3 linked regions of the Ovis aries genome follow. The protein of the gene in region 1 interacts with the protein of each later gene in a pairwise test. Links are inferred from orthologs where the notes say so. Each region holds a gene or a part of one and is shown in the gene's direction. Other genes may lie near its edges. The genes, in order: EDC3, DCP1A and ANXA10.

Region 1 (3,652 bases):
GAAGTCTTCACAGAAGGTATACCCTTTGTGTTCAAGGCTAACCTTATCACATATGCTTTGTGTTAGCGTTTTCTGTATCCTTTGAGACCCTACCCCTTTTCTTTTGTGTCTTCACTTTGAACCTTTATACTGTCTCTCTTCTCATCACTTTCTAACTTTCCCAGGCCTCTCCCATAGTAAAAACACTCCTCCCCTTAGCGCACACACCTTGCATTTGCCACTAGTCCACTGTATTTCCCTGACTAAGGACACCTTTCACCCAGGTTAGAAACTTAGGAATCATAATGAATTCTTTGTTCTCTTGATCTTCATGTTCAGTTAGTCACCAAATTCTTTGGATTCCAAATGTTTTTTTGGTTCCATCCTCCTTTCTCTCTTTGCATTGTCACTTGCTGTATCAGTTCAGTTCAGTCGCTCAGTCGTGTCCGACTCTGCGACCCCATGAATCGCAGCACGCCAGGCCTCCCTGTCCATCACCAACTCCCAATGTCCACTCAGATTCATGTCCGTTGAGTCAGTGATGCCATCCAGCCATCTCATCCTCAGTCGTCCCTGTAAGAAACGCAGCAGGAAGAAAGAGCCACCCCTATGGACCGTTGATCAGGGCCTTTATTGGGCGGTCGCTCTCGGGCAGAACTCCAGGGGGCGGGTGAGCAAGGAAGCAAAGGGAGTCTGCGAGGTATGAGGGGTGGAGAAGGGTTTTATAGCCAGGGCCGGGCTCCCATATAAGGAAGAAAGCGTGGGCTCAGCGGTGGTTGGTGTCCAAAGGCTCCGTGTCGGCACCTGATTGGACGGCTTGGTTGTTGGCCCACCTCCGGGACTTGTCTGTGGCACTTTTCCGGGGCATGCCTCAGCACGCCTGGGCATGCCTCAACATGTCCAGGCATGCCTCAACATGCCCGACCTTGCCCGACCTTTCAGTCCCCTTCTCCTCCTGCCCCCAATCCCTCCCAGCATCAGGGTCTTTTCCAATGAGTCAACTCTTCGCATCAGGTGGCCAGAGTACTGGAGTTTCAGCTTCAGCATCATTCCCTCCAAAGAAATCCCAGGACTGATCTCCTTTAGAATGTACTGGTTGGATCTTCTTGCAGTCCAAGGGACTCTCAAGAGTCTTCTCCAACACCACAGTTCAAAAGCATCAATTCTTCAGCGCTCAGCTTTCTTCACAGTCCAACTCTCACATCCATACATGACCACTGGAAAAACCATAGCCTTGACTAGACAGACCTTTGTTGGCAAAGTAATGTCTCTGCTTTTCAATATGCTATCTAGGTTGGTCATAACTGTTCTTCCAAGGAGTAATCGTCTTTTAATTTCATGGCTGCAGTCACCATCTGCAGTGATTTTGGAGCCCCCCAAAATTAAGTCTAACACTGTTTCCACTGTTTCCCCATCTATTTCCCATGAAGTGATGGGACCAGATGCCATGGTCTTATACATCCCCTCTTATTTCTGCCTCATCTCCTAACTGGTGCCCCTGCCTCTAGTTTCTTCACTGTTCTTATAGACACCAGAAAAACCCAGTGTGATTATGATCTGATCCCTAATCTTCTCTTCAGCCTTACCTCCTGATGGCCCTCTATAAGCATTTGTCTCTTTAGTAACACTATAACATTTACGCTAACAACAGTAACTTTTGCAGTTCCTCACATGGCCTCAGTCTCTGAGCCTTGGCTTAAGGTGCCCCTTTCCCTCCCATACTCTGCTTGGCCAACTCTTATTTTCCCTCCCCAACCAGACTTGGCTTAAGTGCTTCATCCATCTCTACCAGACTAACATGTATTTTGCTCTGGGAGGCTCTAGTCCCCAGTACACACCTCTGTCATAGTATTCAACACTTTTGATTACCTACTTGAATTTTCTGCTGAACAGACTTCGAGTTCTGTGTGAGCATATATTACTTTTCGTCTTTATATACCCCACTTCTACTACGGGGGTTACCACATAGTAAGTACCCTGTGTATACCTTTTGAGTGAGCAGGTAGGTAAATGAATGAAAAAAGCCATTAAGCATTCTAGAAATCTAAGATATTAATGATGGTTTTATGATGAACAATAGGTCTCTTTATTGAAGTATAGTTGATTTGCAGTGTTGTGTTAATTTCTGCTGTACAGCGAAGTGACTCAGTAACACACACACATTCTTTTCTATGTTCTTTTCTATTATGGTTTATCCCAGGATGTTGACTATAGTTCCCTGTGCTATACAGTAGGACCTTGTTGTCCGTCCATCCATATTTAACAGTTCGTATCTACTAACCTGAAATGCCCAGTCCATCCGTCTCCGACTCCCTTAACAATAGGTCTCTTTTTTGTTTTCCTTTTCTAAGCTTTTAATTTATTTTTTGTTTCTTTTCTAAAAAATTTATTTATTTTTAATTGAAGGATAATTGCTTTACAGTATTGTGTTGGTTTTTACCAAATGTCAACATAAATCAGCCGTAGGTTTACCTATGTCCCCTCCCACTTGCACCTCCCACCGACTTCCCTCCCCATCCCACCCCTCTCGTTGTTACGGAGCCCGGTTTGAGTTCCCTGAGTCATTCAGCACAATCCCATTGGCTCTCTGTTTTACATATGGTAATGTATGTTTCCATGTTACTCTCTCCATACATCACACCCTCCTCCCTCCCCGCCTCAGCCGTATCCATATTGCCTGTTCTCAATGTCTGTGTCTCCGTTGCTGCTCTGCAGATAGGTTCATCAGTTCCATCTTTCTAGATTCCATATACATGCATTAGTATATGTTATAACAATAGGTCTCTTTTAAAGGTCAGTGCTGTGTCCATTGAATGTTGGTGGCTAAGTCTTGTCTTTAAGTACGCCACCATCTTTTTTAGGTTTTGCCTTTGATGACTCATTGAAATGAAGCCCTCCAAAGGTGTGGCTTGTTGCTGATAATCTCAGTTTCATCACCGTTATCACTATTTTAGTTTTGAGACTTGGACTCTTTTATGTATTTCAGGGCAGGTGACATTACAGAATTAAAAATTCTGGAGATACCAGGCCCTGGAGAAACCCAGCATTTTGGAGATCTTCATCAGACAGAATTAGGCTCCTCTGGTGTTGGTTGCCAAGTTGGTATCAATCAAAATGGCACAGGCAAGTTGGTCAAGAAGCCAGCCTCTTCGAGCAGTGTCCCTCAGAACATCCCCAAGAGGACAGATGTGAAGAGCCAAGATGTTGCCATCTCTCCCCAGCAGCAACAGTGCTCAAAGAGCTACGTGGACAGGCACACGGAATCCTTGAGTCAGTCCAAGAGCTTCCGTCGTCGGCACAACTCTTGTAAGTTGGATTAAGTTAATGTGTTTTCTTAGCTTGATGTTTCATGTCCACTTATCCACTGCTGTTCTTTAAATAAGTCCTTTATTACTCTAATAAAAAAGATCCTGGCAGGGTTTCGCAAAAATATAGCATGGTTCTTTTATTCCAGTGGTATTTCCTCAAGATGTTAAAGGGAAAGGAAATAAGCTGTTGAGGTTCACACCTGCTCCTTGCCCTCTCCCAACATTTCCTTTCCTTCAAAAAATGTCAGTGATCTGGCTCGAGTTCACATAGACAGAAGTGATGTTTTTGATCTGGTAAATGGTGGTAGTAGTGATGTCTGAGTTGAACCTGCATTCAGGCTGTTCTAGGGGATTCTTGAATACGT
Region 2 (3,652 bases), on another chromosome or scaffold:
TCTTGGGGCATACTTGGGGGTTTGAGAGGAAGGGAGAGGGGCGGGGCTGTTCTTCCCAGAGTGTGATTGGAAGAGGCCTTAGAGTCCAGAGCTGGGTGTGCCTTCCATGCCGCCAGCCAGTTTCTGCTCTCAGCAGTTTTATAAGGTAGTCCTTTGGGTGGATGAACAGTGGTGATTATTAGAAATGTTTTTCTTTTGAATGAAGATCACAAATCCAGTCCAGGTCAGAGAGAGGTGAATACTAGCATGGGTAAGCCAGACAGTGTAGCAGGTGATGGGTAGACACGGGCTGTTTGACCGGTCCTTGATGGTTGGTGTGGCCTACAACTGAGTATTAAATAATAAGCATTTTTTGGTTTTTGGCTGCATCACTAAGTTTGTAGGATCTTAGTTCCCCCACCAGTGATTGAACCCCAGGCCCTTGCCAGTGAAAGCGTGGGGTTCTAACTACTGGACCACCAGGGACTTCCCAGTTTGGAGAAAGCTTTAAACCCATCCTTGGAGAAGCATAATACATTGTAGCTTGTTAAAAACTCAGAATAATGTTGCTGTTGTTTTTTTTTTTTTTTAATCTGTGTTTAATATTGTTTAATCCGATGTTTTCAAATAAAAGAACCATCACACACACACTAATAGGAGTTCCTAGGCAGGCTGTTTTAAAGCAGTAAACTGACATTGGGTACCCTGTTCTATGCCTCTTAGTCCATAAAAAAAAAAAAGCCTTTTACTATTGAATTGTTTTATTACCTGTCATCATCACTGTCTGAAAGTTTTCAAATTAATTCAATTATCAAGTTGTGACTGTGCCTATACTATCCCATGGCAAGTAGGCCTGTTCATTACAGTTGGACTTGAAACCTGAATGGATGTTTAAAAGAAAAAAGATTCATTATCTTATTTTGTTACATTAATTTCAAGCTTTAAGAAAAATATAAGAAGCAGTAAAACATTCATGTGCTCCCCAGGCAACTTTTAGTTTTTCACATTTTGCTTCAGACTTTAAGATGTGGCAGGGAGAGAGCATGTTCCTAAGAAATTAAACCTCTCAGATACATTTGCAGACCGCAGCCCTTGACTTAGACCTTGACTTTCATGCTTTTTTTAATATATATTTTCAAGTGCAAAATTAGCTTAAGTAACACTAGTCAAAATAAAGAACGTTGCCACAATCACCCTGACCTTAGTTACCCACTTAGTGATTTTTTTAAGGAGACAACAAGGAAAATCTTTTGTTTGCTTGTAGAGTTATTGCTGATTTTTGAAAATTCACCAAGATCTTCATTTTCAAGATGCTAAGCTTTTTCCTTGCTCCCCATTATTAATATACCCTCTCCATAGGAGTGGTTCACCTGAACAGCTTTCCTTTGTCTTGGTGGCATTGTCCATTTTCAGATTTACTTTATTACCAGGTAGTTTGACTGATCCTGAGATAATGTAGGAAAGAGAGAGAAATAATGTGTAATTTAGTAGATTTTAAAAGTATCTACTTCTACCAAATCTGGAAAGGAATTCTGTATTTTTGGCCTTCTAACAGTGAACTATATTGGTTGGTACTGTTGTGAGTGAGATGGTGAAAGTAGTCAGTCATGTCTTACTGGGATGAGGTAGCGAGGCTCTATTCTGTATTGTGAGGAAGGCATTGTTACCATGAGGCAGTCTTCCAGTATCCTTGGAAGATGGACGCCAAAATCTTGGGTCATATTGTGTCAAAAAAGGTCTTTCTAAAACTTGGTTCTCTTCCTCCAGCGTGGTAGAAGAGGAGACACGGCGGTCCCAGCAAGCAGCTCGGGATAAGCAGAGTCCCAACCAGGCCAACGGCTGCAGTGACCACAGGCCCATCGACATCCTGGAGATGCTAAGCAGAGCCAAGGATGAGTACGAGAGGGTGAGGCTGTGCGCTGAGCAGGAGAACCAGAGCAGGGAGGAGACCGGTGGCGGGTCTGGTGGACTGGGGAGGTCACCTCCAGGGCCAGTGGGAATAAGTAGTTCAGAAAGAAGACCTGTCTTATAGATAAGGAAGGGGATGTTCTTACCTCTGAAAATTCAAAGTGTTCTTTTTCTGTTCCTTAAAAATTACTGTGGGAGAAAAGGATTTTGGAAAATAAAAGGTCCCACTTCCTGGGTAAAGAAATGTACATTAGAACCCATGAGATGTTTAAAGTTCTAACAGATTCCTCAATGTCTGTCTTAGAGAATTACAAAGAATTTATGGATCTGTGAAAGTTAATACATAAAAGGCAGTCATTTCTATAATGAATTCATTGATTCTTAGGAAACTGGATGAAGTAAATAAATTTCAAGAACCATTTCTGAGCTTTTAAGTTACCATGTATTACCATAAATTCCCTCCCATACCCTTAATGAGATACGGGTTATCTACATAGATTCCTTCTGTTTTTATAGAGCCCTTTCGGTGTTGTGGTAACAGCTAGTAAGTTGAGAGCTCTGTCACCCATTCCCAGTGAGGACGAGGTCAAGGTGCCACACAGGACAAAAAGTGCGGGAGCTGCGCACTAGAGCAGAGGCTCCAGGAGGGGCCCGCCTTCCTCCTCAGGCTGGGGAGCAAGTCCTCTCCAGGGGGAAGAAAGAGCTGAAGCCTTGTTTCTGTGTGCAGAGCTGCAGAGGAGCTCTAGGTCACATGAGCAGTGTAAAAATCTGACATGAATTCTGGTCAATGCACGTTGCAAAGGTAGACAGTATGGACAGCGCAGTAACTACTGTTGTAAGGGAATTCTGATATGGTATGGAGTGAATAAAATTTCTGTGGTTGGATTAAGACTAAACCTTTGGGGAGTTAGTTAAATCTTTGATATTTCCTTCATAATGTGTTCTTTCTATTTTTGAAGCCATCCATAAATAGGTGGCACTTCCTTAAACAGGAGTATTGTTGCTTGTCTACACTCGCCTGTCATCTAATCATATGGTGTTAGTCTTAGCAGCGGCCCATGAGTTCACGTCTTAGTGTTTGGATGATTTCTTCTCTGCCTCAGATGGTTCCAAATAGACCCTTTATCTCTAGGTAGAGACTTGGGAGATTGCCAGATTCATCTATGCAACAGCTTGGATGAATCTCAAAGGCATTTGCTAAGTTAAGGAAGCCACCATTCCATTTAGATGACAATCTCGAAAAGACGGAACTAGTGCCAGAGAAGAGTCACTGGTTGCCAGGAGTGGAAGGAGGGCACGACTGCATTGGGATAGCACAAGGGAGTTTGGGGAGGTCGGATATCCTGATTTGTGGGTACACAAAACTATACATTTCAAAAGTTAATTTTGAAAGTGAAAGAAATGGTAGCCCTCCAGGCTCCCCTGTCCATGGAATTCTCCAGGCAAGAATTACTGGAGTGGATTGCCATTTCCTTCTCCAGGGGATATTCCCAATCCAGGGATCGAACCAGGGTCTCCTGCATTACAAGCAGATTCTTTACAGTATGAGCCACCAGGGAAGCCTGGTGATACATTTCAAAAGTTAATTTTACCATATATTAACTTAAAAAAAAGTGGAAAAGAATATATAATAAAGTAATGCTGTTTGCTTGTCCTTAAAGGGGTTATAAAAATAACAGTTGTTATGAACACTATTGTCTAAAATCATGTGCTCAACTTTCTAGAAATTTTATTGTCCAATTAATTTCCATATTTACATGCAGGT
Region 3 (4,198 bases), on another chromosome or scaffold:
AGCCGACTCGTTGGAAAAGATCCTGATGCTAGGAAAGGTTGAAGGCAGAAGGAGAAGGGGGTGACAGAGAATGAGATGGTTGGCTGGCATCTCTGATGCAATATACATGAACTTGGGTAAACTCCAGGAGATGGCAGGGGACAGGGAAGCCTGGCATGCTGCAGTCCATGGGGTCTCGAAGAGCCAGACAGGACTTGGTGACTGACTCACAACAACAACAAATGAACACTGGGTTGTTCACTAAGTGGCAAGTAGCAGTAAAATGCTGTAATACACATTTATTTTGTGATTTGGGGGAAATCATGTATGAAACATATGCTTACAGGTATTTCCTAGCAATATGTTGGACTTTGAAGCTGATTTTAAAATGTTTCCTCAAAATGTAATAAGGCTAAATCCTAAAATAATGTATATACATATGAAAGTGTATAAGTGAAAGTGAAAGTCACTCAGTCACGTGTGACTCTTTGTGACCCCATGGATTATACATGGAATTTTCCAGGCCAGAATACTGTAGTGGGTAGCCTTTCTCTTCTCCAGGGATTAAGCCCAGTTCTCCCAAACTGCAGGCAGATTCTTTACCAGCTGAGCCACAAAGGAAGCCCAAGAATACCAGATTGGGTAGCCTATCCCTTCTCCATCAGATCTTCCTGACCCAGGAATCAAACCGGGGACTCCTGCATTGCAGGTAGATTCTTTACAAACTGAGCTCTGAGGGAAGCACAAGTGTACAAATGATGGTGCACGTATATGACTTATCCAAAACTTCTCCTGATGGGTAATCATTTCTTTCCTAAATAAACTATTTTTTAACATAAGACACATAACAGTTTAACATATTTAGTGAATGGTATGTGTGTTAGTCACTCAGTCGTGTGGAACTCTTCGCGACCCCATTGACCGTAGCCCTGCCAGGCTCCTCCATCCACGGGATTTTCCAGGGAAGAATGCTGGAGCGGGTTGCCATTTCCTTCTCCAAGTGAATGGTATAGATGCATATAAAACCTAGCCATGTGAAGCATGAAGCTAGAGGCTGGAGGAACTGAAAAAGTCTGAGTGTTAAAAACAACAGAGCAGAAAATAAATCATTAACTACGTGGTTAATCAACCCACTTTCCATAAGTCACCAGCTTTCTCAAAAGATTACACTGCTTTGATTGGTTTGATAATTAATGTTTCTTAAATCAACACAGAGCCAGGGGCTAAGCTACCGATTCTGTTTGTTTTGTGCATTAATTCTGCCTGTGACTGGTGGCTCAGTATATTAATAAACGCTTGTCCATAACTGACCCTCTGTTTTCTTGCTTGAGAAACCAAAGTGGACAGTGGACACACTTAAGTTGGATTGAACGGTGAACTTGAGTTCTTTCTAGGGACACGGTGAAACAAGTCTATTCAACTGACCACACACTAAACACCTTTTGATCTGCCCTGAAGTTAAACATTATCATCAAAATGTTTTGCGGAGACTATGTGAGTATAATGGCGATTTCCATAAAACTTTATAGTTTTTTGAGATGTGTAAACCTTGTTTACAAAATTTCATTTGTGGTTCTTGACATTTTCAACAAGAAATATTGGTGTTTTGATTTATCTTCATTAAAGTGTTAATGAGTAGGTGTCCAATGTAACTATTAAACAAAGTCTGTGTTATTAAATATCAAATTCGTGCTAGTTTTGAAATAATGTATTGTTCTCTAGAGGCAATTCAGTGATCCCTACTTTCTAAAGTTACCTGACTCAGAATTCTAACTGAAGTAGTAATAAGCTATTTTTGTCTCCATACTTATTTCTCTCTATAAGAAACTAAAAGTAAGCCTGATTGCTAATTTTTATTTAAAATCTATGGTATGTTCAGAAAATATAGTTGTTGTTGTTTTTTTTAATTTTTATTTTTACTTTATTTTACTTTACAATACTGTATTGGTTTTGCCATACATTGACATGAATCCACCACGAGTGTACATGAGTCCCCAGACATGAACTCCCCTCCCACCTCCCACCCCATATCATCTCTCTGGATCATCCCCATGCACCAGCCCCAAGCATCCTGTATCCTGCATCGAACATAGACTGGCGATTCGTTTCTTACATGATAGTATACATAATTTAAACAAATGTAAGACTTAGTTTAGTCATTTTATTTTTTTCCTTGTCTGGGTCACTTTGATCCAATTACTCTAACAGTCCATGAACTTTGGAAGAGCCTATAGAGACACTGAGTTATTTAAATATACATCATTTGAAAAGATATCCACTTCACACAGCCTTGGAAATTATATATACTTTTGTTGAGGATTTTCTAAAAATGTGTATCATTAAAAATTCTTTCCAGAAGCCTTTTATTTTAGTGCAAAAATTTTATGCAGGAAAAGAAAACAATTATTTGGTTAAACTTTGGCACAAATATGATGTTATTTACCTATTTACAAAATATTAATCCCTAGAAATTTTTATTTACTTATATTGCTTTTCAAATTAAGTATTGAATGGAACCGAAAAAGTAGCTACTTTCCATCACTGTTGGTTCATGAATCTTAATTTTATCTTGAGATTTCAGGATCTTATTTGCAGGTGAAACTTCCTTTATCATCTTATTAATTGTAAGGCAGTTACATTCTACTATAGAAACAGAAGTTGTTACATAATTTAGGCCAGCACAGTAAATGATTTAATTTGTAAAAGAAGTTATTTTCTCCCAATTATTACTTTCAAATAATTGTATGTGGATGACTAGAAATTTTCTCCCTTTTTTTCATTCAAGTACAATTATTCGGGAGTAATTAAAACTATATTCTGTGTGGTACATATGGTTTTATATTAATATTTTATGCCAATCTATCAAAAGATATATTCATAAAATATTTAAATTACATTTCAGAGACTACTAAAAGTTACCAATGATAACAAGCTTTTAAAGAAATGCAGTGGTTTGCCATGCTTCTGTAGATAATCAGAGATTAAAGAGTTGGATTTCAGCAGACCTAAACTTTCATTTTAAGTGTTCTGATCATCTATTTCAGAGATAAATATTAGGTTTTATGAGTTATCTCAGAAAATTTTGATGATAAAGGGTTTTACATAATCATGTTATATTTTCATATTTATATTCTTTAGGATATACATTTATAAATCCAGTTATATATATATCCTTAAGATTTATGGACTAACTGGGAAGAATTGGATATTAAAGAGGCCAATATATGAGGTCAAGTTCACCTGTTTAGTCTCCATTCTGGGTGTGTGTCCTTCAGCAAAAGGCAGGCTTTTGCACAATAAGTAAAAGTCCTCAAGTCATAGGGGAGATAGTTACTGACTGGGTTGCTTATTAAACTATTAAGTTTTAACTAAAGTTAAATTATCGACTGAGCCTTCTTCTCAGCAGCTCTGATTGAATGACACCTGAATTCACCCCCTTGGTATAAACACCAAAATAATGCATTATGCCAGTTACAAAACATAGAAAATTTAAACAGAAATCAAGCAAGAGGCAAGAATTAGAGAAAAGCAGTTATATTTCTATAGGAAAGAAGCATATTCACTCCTTGAAAATTACTTTCCAGAATTTTGGAGTTAGATGACCCTCAGGGATTAAAGTAATTCAAGTGGGTTAGTTACATCAAGAAGGTAAATTCACCTTCCTGTGAGTATTTTACAGGTGTGCTTGACTATAAAACTGTTAAAAGCAAGATTTAATGAAATGATGTTGGCAAGCCTGGAATTGTTTTGATTCACTACTTAGCCAGATATAAATCACCCGTCAGGAAGGTGGTATGTCTTGGAGTGGAAGAAATTTCACTGCAGAGCGTTACCAAAAACATGCCCAAATCAGTATCTAAACCAGGTCTCTCTGTCGCTGTAACTCAAGCTCTTATCCACAGAAAAACACTGTCTCTTCCACATACATCGCCCTGATTCTTCTACCAAAACTGTTGGCTGTTTTTGTCCGGTTTTGTCATCGACTGATTTCCCCTTTTTGTATGTGTGCTCAGTCAGTTAGCCATACCTGACTCTTCTCTGACTCCATGGACGGTAGCCCACCAGGCTCCTCTGTCCACGAGCTTTCCAAGGCAAGAACAGTGGACTGGGTTATCACTTCCTCCTCCATCATTTTGTACAGTAGCATTTTATTTATTATAGACTCCTTTATTTGGTAACACTCTTCCTTTTTGCCTCAAAGGAAATTTTAGTCCTTTTC

The links.
Region 2: the proteins of EDC3 (region 1) and DCP1A interact in binary tests that used the Homo sapiens proteins (3 or more experiments, as listed by UniProt). The two-hybrid records come from large-scale screens. The link is inferred for Ovis aries from reciprocal best matches to the Homo sapiens genes EDC3 and DCP1A.
Region 3: the proteins of EDC3 (region 1) and ANXA10 interact in binary tests that used the Homo sapiens proteins (3 or more experiments, as listed by UniProt). The link is inferred for Ovis aries from reciprocal best matches to the Homo sapiens genes EDC3 and ANXA10.

Annotation. Positions count from the first base shown.
Region 1 is NC_056071.1:31,677,774-31,681,425, forward strand, and holds part of EDC3 (enhancer of mRNA-decapping protein 3), read left to right. Parts: intron 1-2,965; coding exon 2,966-3,285; intron 3,286-3,652. UniProt on the Homo sapiens protein: Binds single-stranded RNA. Involved in the process of mRNA degradation and in the positive regulation of mRNA decapping. May play a role in spermiogenesis and oogenesis.
Region 2 is NC_056072.1:47,774,442-47,778,093, forward strand, and holds part of DCP1A (mRNA-decapping enzyme 1A), read left to right. Parts: intron 1-1,746; coding exon 1,747-1,885; intron 1,886-3,652. UniProt on the Homo sapiens protein: Necessary for the degradation of mRNAs, both in normal mRNA turnover and in nonsense-mediated mRNA decay. Removes the 7-methyl guanine cap structure from mRNA molecules, yielding a 5'-phosphorylated mRNA fragment and 7m-GDP.
Region 3 is NC_056055.1:112,562,936-112,567,133, reverse strand, and holds the start of ANXA10 (annexin A10), read left to right. Parts: upstream 1-1,295; 5' UTR 1,296-1,455; coding exon 1,456-1,473; intron 1,474-4,198.